Linked DNA regions of Canis lupus familiaris. The protein of the gene in region 2 binds, or shares a complex with, the protein of the main gene of each other region. Links are inferred from orthologs where the notes say so. Each region holds a gene or a part of one and is shown on either strand. Other genes may lie near its edges.

The links.
Region 1: ZNF541 (region 2) and SAP30 share a complex: the UniProt entries of both Homo sapiens proteins name them as parts of the histone deacetylase complex. The link is inferred for Canis lupus familiaris from reciprocal best matches to the Homo sapiens genes ZNF541 and SAP30.

The regions. Positions count from the first base shown.
Region 1 is NC_049246.1:24,119,982-24,124,345, reverse strand, and holds the start of SAP30 (histone deacetylase complex subunit SAP30), read right to left. Parts: upstream 2,820-4,364; 5' UTR 2,506-2,819; coding exon 2,191-2,505; intron 536-2,190; coding exon 410-535; intron 1-409. UniProt on the Homo sapiens protein: Involved in the functional recruitment of the Sin3-histone deacetylase complex (HDAC) to a specific subset of N-CoR corepressor complexes. Capable of transcription repression by N-CoR.
Region 2 is NC_049222.1:109,165,613-109,170,015, forward strand, and holds the start of ZNF541 (zinc finger protein 541), read left to right. Parts: upstream 1-1,537; 5' UTR 1,538-1,582; intron 1,583-1,676; exon of another isoform or gene 1,677-1,717; intron 1,718-1,851; exon of another isoform or gene 1,852-2,734; 5' UTR 2,735-2,896; intron 2,897-3,829; exon of another isoform or gene 3,830-3,910; intron 3,911-4,403. UniProt on the Homo sapiens protein: Transcription regulator which is essential for male fertility and for the completion of meiotic prophase in spermatocytes.

The DNA.
Region 1 (4,364 bases), on a different chromosome or scaffold from region 2:
ACATGTAAGAATTAGTTCATGCAATTTTTAAATTGTTATCTTTGATATGCATAATAGCATTTCAATTTTGGTACAACAAAAATGTAATTAAGTAACAAAAATTACATTATTTAATTAATTCCATTCCATTACTTCTTTTACATAATCAAAACTACAAATATATAGAGCACTTCAATCTTTTGAAGGTAAATACTGAGAACTGGGAGCAAAAAAAGAAGGCAATAGAGGTATAAGCATTGTGAATTGAAAACATAAGTCAAACTACAACTGCCTATTAATTGGCTATATTTAATTTTGCTTTCATTTTCAGATTTTTCGCATTAAGTATTTTTAAAATTTGTTCCTATCTTTTAATAGAAGTTTCAGAATGGAATACTTAGGATTTACATTTAACATACAGAAACTTTACCTCTGGCGTATCGATATCTTGAACAGGTGAATCTCCTCCATCATCATCACTCCCTTTTCTCTTTCTTCTGTTTCGAACACTCTGAATTAAGTTTTTATGATAATCACAAATGTAAAGATGCCTTGCCTAAAACAAAAAAGTTTCACAGACTACTTATTATTATGTAACGTGTCTACGTATTAGTAAAATACATAGGGCACAGTGAATTATTAAAAATAAAAAGTCAAAATAGGCCATTGTTAAGACAACAGCATATTTCTATGCTTAAGTCCTGTATTCAGTTAGAACATACCGTGTCTGACAATAGGGTTAAGAGGATTGGAGAGTGGGGTGGGGAGGAGTGAAAGGAAGGAAGGAAGGGAAGCAGACAAGCAGAATGAGAAATTGCAATTGTCTGGATTTTTTAATTAAACTGTAGTGAGGGTGAATTAGATTTGTTAGGTCACGCTGTTTTTTTAATAAGTGGAAAGATGATGTTGCCCACAATTCTGCTACTGACAGTATTTTCTCTAAAGAGCACATTTTAGTAGCTTCATATCCTTTCTCAGTACTCAAATTATAATCCAGATACAAAACTATCCATTTTTACAAACGAGCTACCGATTTCATATACTACTTATATTTACATCTGAATTACAAGCTTCTGAGTATTTAATGAATGTATTTGTCTGTATTACGTTTTTTTCAACCAAAGGCAATGTGAAACTATTCAAGTTTACTTGAGAAGTGTCTCCCAAGCATGACTGAAGAACTCTTTAACAGGCATAATAGATCACAAACTTTGCAAAAGCTTCAATTAAATGTAGTCTTGAGCGCTGTATGGTAACATCTGAAATACTGGGCTGCATTATTAACAGTTTAAACTCCTTTAAAAAACAACAACAACAAGCGATTAAAGACTAAGGCTTTGAAATTTAACTTGTAAACGAAGTCCAAGTTAAAATTATGCAGGGCGTATGCTAGGTTCTGGCATCTTGTTATCCATTCACCGCCAGCCAAAACTCCGCAAAGTGCCAATGGTTGTTTCTGAAAACCTCACAGATGGTCAAAGAAACACAAGAAACGGACGTGTACAACAAGGACGGTAAAGGAAATCCGGATGCTGCCGAAGGGGTGGCAGCGCCGCAGAGGCAGCGGGCTCCCCACATTCCCGGCAGCTGCGCTGGATGCTGGCGGCGTCCACCAGCCCGGCGGTCTGCACCGCGCGGGGTGAGCTCGGCTCTCTTCCCTCCGCAACCCGGCGGACGAGCAGAGGAGTCGGTCTCCACCGCGGCACCAGGGCCTCGCTTGCAGGACTACACTTTTGCCTACAGCCGGGGGTTGCTCCCCGGGGCCACGCGCCAGCTTGGGCAGCAAAACAAAGGAGGAGCGGACAGGCTGCAAGAAAACTACTCCGGGCCCTCCGAGCCGCGGTGCTCTTTGTTTCGTGTCCCGACCTCAGGGAAGGAGGAAGGGGTTGGACGGCGAGCAGGGCGGACACCCGGAACGGGGTGGGGGTGCGCGGGGGTTGGGTAGGAAGGGTGGGGGTGGGCACGCGAGGGAGAGGAGGCGGGGGGGGGGCGGGGGGAGCAGCGGACCCGCGGCCGGCTGGCGTGGGTCTGCGGGGGAGGCGGTCCGAGTTGCGGCGACTTTGTGGTTCGCGTCCTACCCGAGACCACGCGACGGGCTCGCGCCACAGCCAGGTCTAGGGGACCCCCGAACCGTCCGCCCCTGAACCCCGGTCGGCACCGCTCCGGGAGCCCCAGAGCAGGGCAGGGCATGGCCGTCCCGCCGTCACTCACGCTCTTCTCCAGCTCGATTTTCACCTTCTTCTGGGAGATGCTCTTCTGGATCCTCTTGCTGAAGCTGGCGTTGCCCGCCGCCCGGCCGCACCGCTCTCCGTCCTCCCGCAGGCAGCACAGCTGTCCGGGGCCCGGCCCGGCCGCCCCCGGGGGCCCAGCAGCCGACACCGCCCCGGCACCCGGCACCTCAGCCCCGGCGCCGGCCCCTGCCCCGTTCCCGGCCGAGGCGGCCGCGGCGGCGGCGGCGACCACGGCGGCCACTGCGGCGGCCGCGTCCCCGCCGCGGCTCATCTCCTCAGGCGTGAAGCCATTCATGTCTCCGCGTGCCGACAGAAACCCCCGCTCGGCTCGCCGCTCCCCCTCTCTGCGGAGACTCCGGGGTCTCCGCGGGGTCCCTCAGACACCTGACCCCGCCGGGGCGATTCCTCCAGCGGCACCGCCACACACCAGGCGTCCCGGTCTGCTGTTGTCCGCTGGCGCCGGGATGGGGGACAGCGTTTGGGGTCAGAAGCCAGAACCGGGCGGCGCCAGGAGTTAGGACTCCGGTCACTGTCACATGGAGACGCTTCAGCAGTTGGACCCTGGCGCCTCCGCCTCCCTCCGGCCCCCCGACCTGCGCACGCGCGACGAGCCCTCTCCTGCCCCGCCCCTTCCACTGTGTGGCAGGGCACCATGGGAATTGTAGTTCTTTGAGGGGGAATCACTCTGAGTTCCACCCCGAACTGGGCGCCTTGGAACTACTTATGCTAGCATGCATCGCGCGGCGACGGGCAGGGCTTCGGCTGCTAATTTATTTATTTATTTATTTTAAGTCAGTGGGAAAACAGGGGCGTGTGGTTAGGGGTGGTGATGTTTTCTCGCTTCTAGTCTCTCCCAGGAAGTTGCTCCGTCTTTCGCTACCGGGATTCTGCAGTGTTGGCGTTCTACTAGACAAAGCGGCCACCCCGCTCCTGAGGCGAGGCGCAAAATGTTCTGGGCGGGAAGCTAGGAGGGAAGGTGCGGCGTGAAAAAGTTTCGGGGCCGTTTTCTTACTGTGGAAAAAGAATTTTTGGTGTGGCCATGCTTTTGTGGGACACCCAAACCAAGGAGAACTCGGGGAAGCTGGCGCTCTTCGGGTCCGGGAGATGCCGCAGGTCCCGGGTCACAGTTCCATTCATTGACACACCAGCTGAGGCAAAAACGCCCTTCCGACCTCGACCGTGACAGGGCCGCTTCCCAAGTGCCTCAGCTGAAGGCCGTTTTTAAATCCTTGCACGTTCCTGCGAAGATCGGGTTTCATTTTGGGGCGATCAAAGTTGGCCGCTTCCTGCGGTGGAGCGGCTTCTTTCCGCCTCCACCCCCACCCAACCTTCACCGTTTCTCTTCTAAAGGCCCTAGAGAAAAGTGGGATCCAGGACCCTGTCCAGGGGGACGTGGAGCCCCGATATAGTTAGCGTGAGTGCTCCTCGGAAACTTCCCGGCGTTCTCTCTGCGGAGTGAAAGGCCAGAAAGAACCCGCATTTCCTGGGGTATCCGCCCGCGCCTGTGCGTGTAGAGTGCGTGCGTGCGTGTGTGTGTGTGTGTATCCGCCCGCGCCTGTGCGTGTAGAGTGCGTGAGTGCGCGTGCGTGCCCGTGGGCGCGTGCTTGTAGGGGGCGGGGCCGGGGAATGGAGCGGCTGATAGGAGCGCGTGCGCCTTTGCCGGTTGCTGCGCGTCACTGTGACTGTATCGGATGTGTCCTGTTTAGCCGTCCTTTGGCTTAAATAAAAATACGAACCAGGTTCTTTTGCAAGTTCTTTCAGGCTTGCTGAGTGAATTTAGTGATAGATGATTTTTTAAAAAAACCTAAATGTCATCTGCCCTGAAATTCAAAGCCATCCATTCCGTCTGTGCTTTTCAGTTCTAGGCTATGGCAAAGGGAAAAACAAAAAACAAAAACAAAAACAAAACGTTAAGATATTATTACGTAAATTGAATGAGCAAAAGGAAGATGCTGCATGGTAAGTATGTTGTGTTACCCTTTTTATTTTTTAAGATTTTATTTCTTCGTGAGAAACAGAGAGAGAGAGAGGCAAAGACACAGGCAGAGGGAGAAGCAGGTTCCCTGCAGGGAGCCCCATGCGGGACTCCATCCTAGGACGCTGAGATCGTGACCTGAGCCCAAGGTAGATGCTTAACCACTGAGCCACCCAGGT
Region 2 (4,403 bases):
TTCTTTAAAGTATAACCACATTGCATTCTAAATGTATTTTCCTGTCTCCTACTGGAGGTATGCTCTTCAGTCCCAGAGTCACTAAGCTACCTGTGGCTCTACTCAAAATGTGACTGCTCTGGATTAAGATGTCCAGACTTTCCAAAAAAAAAAAAAAGGAACTTATTAAAAATTTTGTATTGATTACATGCTGAAATAACATTTTGTGTTTTTTTTTTACAATTTTATTTTTTGACACACAGAGAGAGAGCATAAGTAAGCAGTGGTAGGCAGAAGAAGGAGAAGCAGGCTCCCTACTGAGCAGTGTGACCCATGCCAGGCTGGATCCCAGGGCCCTGAGATCACGACCTGAGCCCAAGGCAGGTGCTTAACCAACTGAGCCACCCAGGTGCCCCAACATTTTGGTTTAGGTTGTACTATTAAAGCTAATTTCATGTCATTGCATCCTGTATCATTTGGACAGCGCTGCTGAGAACACAAGCTCGAGCGGGAATGTGCGTCTGACTCAGACATTGCTCCGTCTGCTCTATCTCAGATCAGAAGCTCAATAAATATTTGCTCAATGAAGGAATCCAAAAGTAGAATGCTGGTCTTTTTCTTATCCTCTCTGTTCCGTCCGTCTAACCCAGGGATCAAAAAAAAAAAAAAATCAAATCAACAAAACTTTACTGAGATATTATTTCCATAAAATCCAACCTTTTCTAGTGAATTCAGCACGGCGTGCAACCACCGCCGCTCACTTCTAGAATCTTTCCATCACCCCAATCAGATGCCCTTATGCTCCGGTACGGGGGGGGGGGTCCCCATTCCCACCCAGGCGCCTGCAAAGCTGCTCTCGAACTCCTCAGATGGTCGGGGTTCACTTCCTAGGGGATGAGTTGCCCGTCTTGGGGGCTCTGGGGTAGCACCCTCAGGCCACGGCTCACCCCGGTCCCATCCCTCCGCCCAGCAGGACCCAGCGGGGAGCTGGACCCCCACCCCCACCCCCACCCCCGGCACGACGGGGCCGCGTAGCCGCATCTTCCCAGCCCACCGAAGAGCAGGTCTTCGCGGCTCCCGCTCGCGCCGCGGCTGCCTCGAGGGACCCCGAGACCCGGCCGGGCGGGACCCCGCCCTTGCAGCCCCCACCGCGGGCCACCGCAGCTCGGAGCGGCCGCTGGGAGCCCGAGTCCCCCGCCGCTGCGTTCTAACGCCGCCCTCCAGGAACAATGGCCGGAGCCGACCGACTCCGGGCCTCCGCGTGCGGGTGTCGGGGAGCCCGGAAGGCCGGCCCCTCGCCACCCCCGTCCCCGCCCCCGCCGCAGGCCCTTCCCGGGCTCCACTTTGACTCTCTCCCAGCCTCAACTGCCCCCCTCGCAAAATGGCGACCAACCGCCTCCTTTCCCGCCTGCCGTCGGTCACCTGACCGCACCAAGCCCCGCCCCTCGCGTGGCCCCGCCCCCTCCCGTCCGAGGCCCAATAGCTGCGGAGACCTCGCCGCCGGGCGGCACGCGCCGGGAGCCCGGGCGGCGCGAGGGGCGCGCGAGGCCGCCCTGGGTGTCGTGGGGGGACCCGCAGCCACGCACGCGCGCCCCCGCCGCGGGTGAGCGGGCCGCTCCGGGGGCGGGCTGAGGTGCGCGTGCGCGCCCGGAGGCGGGCGGCGCGAGGGGGGCAGGGGGCCGCTGGGAGGCCCGCCCGGCGCGAGGCTCGAGGCCGGCGCGCGAGCCCCCGGGGGCGGGTAAAACCCGGTTGCTGCTGCCCCTGCCCCCTCCCTTTCCTCCCTACCCCCCCCTTCCCGCCCCTCCTCACTTTTCAACCCCTCCCCCCCCTTAAAATCTAATTCGTTTATATATTTGTTTTTTAGGGGGCCCATCTCCCTTTCGAGGAGCGCAGCAGGCGCGGCGGGCGCCCCTCACCCCGCGTCACGCACGCACCTTCTGCACCCCAACAGCTCCGGGCCCCGCTGCACCCCGCAGGCCCTTCGCCCTTGGAGAAGGCTCTCCTGGGGGGGCCCCTGGCCCACTGCATCCCCTTCCTTACCTCCCCCGCCCCGCAGGCCCCAACTGCCCCCTCGCAGCCCCCCCCCGGCTCGCGCCTCGGGCCCTACCGACCTCGGCGCTTTCTGCACCGCGGCCTTGCATTCGCTCTAGCTTCCAGGCCTTCTGCTAAAAATCACCTTTCCTCCTGAATAGGGGACCCGAATTTTTCTTTTAGGATCTTCCAGCAAAACCAAAAATCTCTTCTCTTCTTTGATTATACCCTTCAACCTCCTTTTAGAAACTTTCTCTAGCAAAAAAGAATATAAATATATATATATATTTTTTTCTTTTCTGGATTTTTCCTCCATTCAGGATCTCTTTCCAGCAAAAATTTTCTGCCCACCAAGAGCCCCCCTTTTTGTCCTATCTTTCCACTGATAGCAGAGGAGCTCTGTTCTTCCAGTTTCTCATGTAATACTTGTTTTTCCAACGCTCTTCTCGACCTCTTCAGCAAAAATCCCTTTTTTGTCCATCACCAGTTTTACCCCAATTAGGCTTTTCCCAGCAAACCCCTCAGGTCCCTTCCCTAGGAAGGAAAGTAAGGAAAAGACAAAAATAACTCCCTTAACTGCAAAACCCTTTCCCTATCTAGATCTCCCCAATTTAGTATTGCTTCCTTCCTTCTTCCAAAAATTGCCTGTCATCCCCACAGTTTCACACCTGTGTGCTTGCTTCTTTGGGGACCCAAGTTCTGAATGCCCCTTCCTTTCCACCAGCTGCTTTCAGGACACAAGAAGTTGGATGAGTGTCCTGAATTTGCTACCCGGAGTTCCAGGAGGAAATATCCAGTGGTCTGACGGTCACCTGAACCCCCTCCCTGTGGGTCCTAAATTGGGCCCTCCTGTTCCCTGGAGATTCACTCATTTGTTCTTCTCCTGGTGAGTTTTCCCCTTTGCCCCTGTCCACAGATCCCTTCTTTGTCAGGATTCCTTCCTTTCTCAGAAGGATTTCTAATTGGCCCAAGTCTCTGTACCGATGATGAAACCATTATAAGTTTCTGCTTTGTGAGGTCAGATAAGGAAAAGGTTATGTATAGTGCATATTGGTAAATGCCTGCAGTGTGATGAACCAAAGGTCACGTGCCCCATCTAAGTGATACCAGTCAGTGGAAATGCCAGGACAGTGTTGCCAGAACTTTAAAAAAAAATTGTTTTTGAGAAGAGACACTATATTTATGTCAAACCTTTTGATCTGTAAATGGTGACAATGAATTTAATAGGTATTTAAAGGCAGTGTGGAGCCCTTACAAAACATGCCAGCTGGCCACCAGTTTGGAATATTTGGTTTAGGGTTTCTTTCTGTGTAAGACTTGCATACACAGATACTCACCCACTTGGGCACATGTGGATGCAGGACTTTTCCTCTTTACAGCCACAGTTCTCTAGCTTTTTGATCTTAGGGCTCCCCCCCTTATATTTAAAAATCATTGAAGATCCCAGAGAATTTGTGCACGTGAACTCTATACTGCTGATATTTGCACTATTAGAGGTTTAATACGTTTTTAAAATACTTATTCATTTATTTATTTATGATAGTCACACAGAGAGAGAGAGAGAGAGGCAGAGACATAGGCAGATGGAGAAGCAGGCTCCATGCACCGGGAGCCCAACGTGGGATTCGATCCCAGGTCTCCAGGATCAGGCCCTGGGCCAAAGGCAGGCGCCAAACCGCTGCGCCACCCAGGGATCCCTACTTATTCATTTAAAAATAAGTGATAAGCTTATTATGTTAACAAAATTGACTATTTTAAATATTTTTTGAAAGATGATATTTCAGAAAGAAATTTCGTGAGAATAGTGGCATTGTCTTACCTTTTGGAGTCACCTAGAATCTTATTTCTGCTACTGCATTCAGCCTTTTGAAATATTCCCTGTAGCTTCTGGAAAGTCTCACTGAGAATGAAAAAGGCAGGTAATGTCTGAATATTATTATGAAAATAGTTTTGACTCGAAGAATCCCTGCAAGACTCTGAGGACCCCCCAGGTTTCCCACCCCCATCCGCCTCACTTGGAAAACCTGCTGTTCTAGATGTTAATGCTTATTTGTATTTTATGCTAGGATCAGCTTTTGGAATGAGAAGGCTTGAGGTCTCTTTTCCTCCCTTAGTTAATTCTATGTGAGAAATTTTCTTAGAAAGCATAGTCATAGTTTTCTGATTCCTCCTTGTCTTCTATCTAGTTCTTAATGTGAGCTGTAAATCTGTTCTTTTAATGAGCAGAAGAGATGAGTTACCCTAATGGTTTAAATTATAATGGTTACATGATCAAGGGAGGGAGTGTTCTTTGGTTGTTCAGCTTAGGAAAGGACGTACGGCACATGGGGCAGGAGTCCCAGTCTCAGGTGTGGAATCCTACCATAGATGAGTGGTTACATGTGACGGTTTTG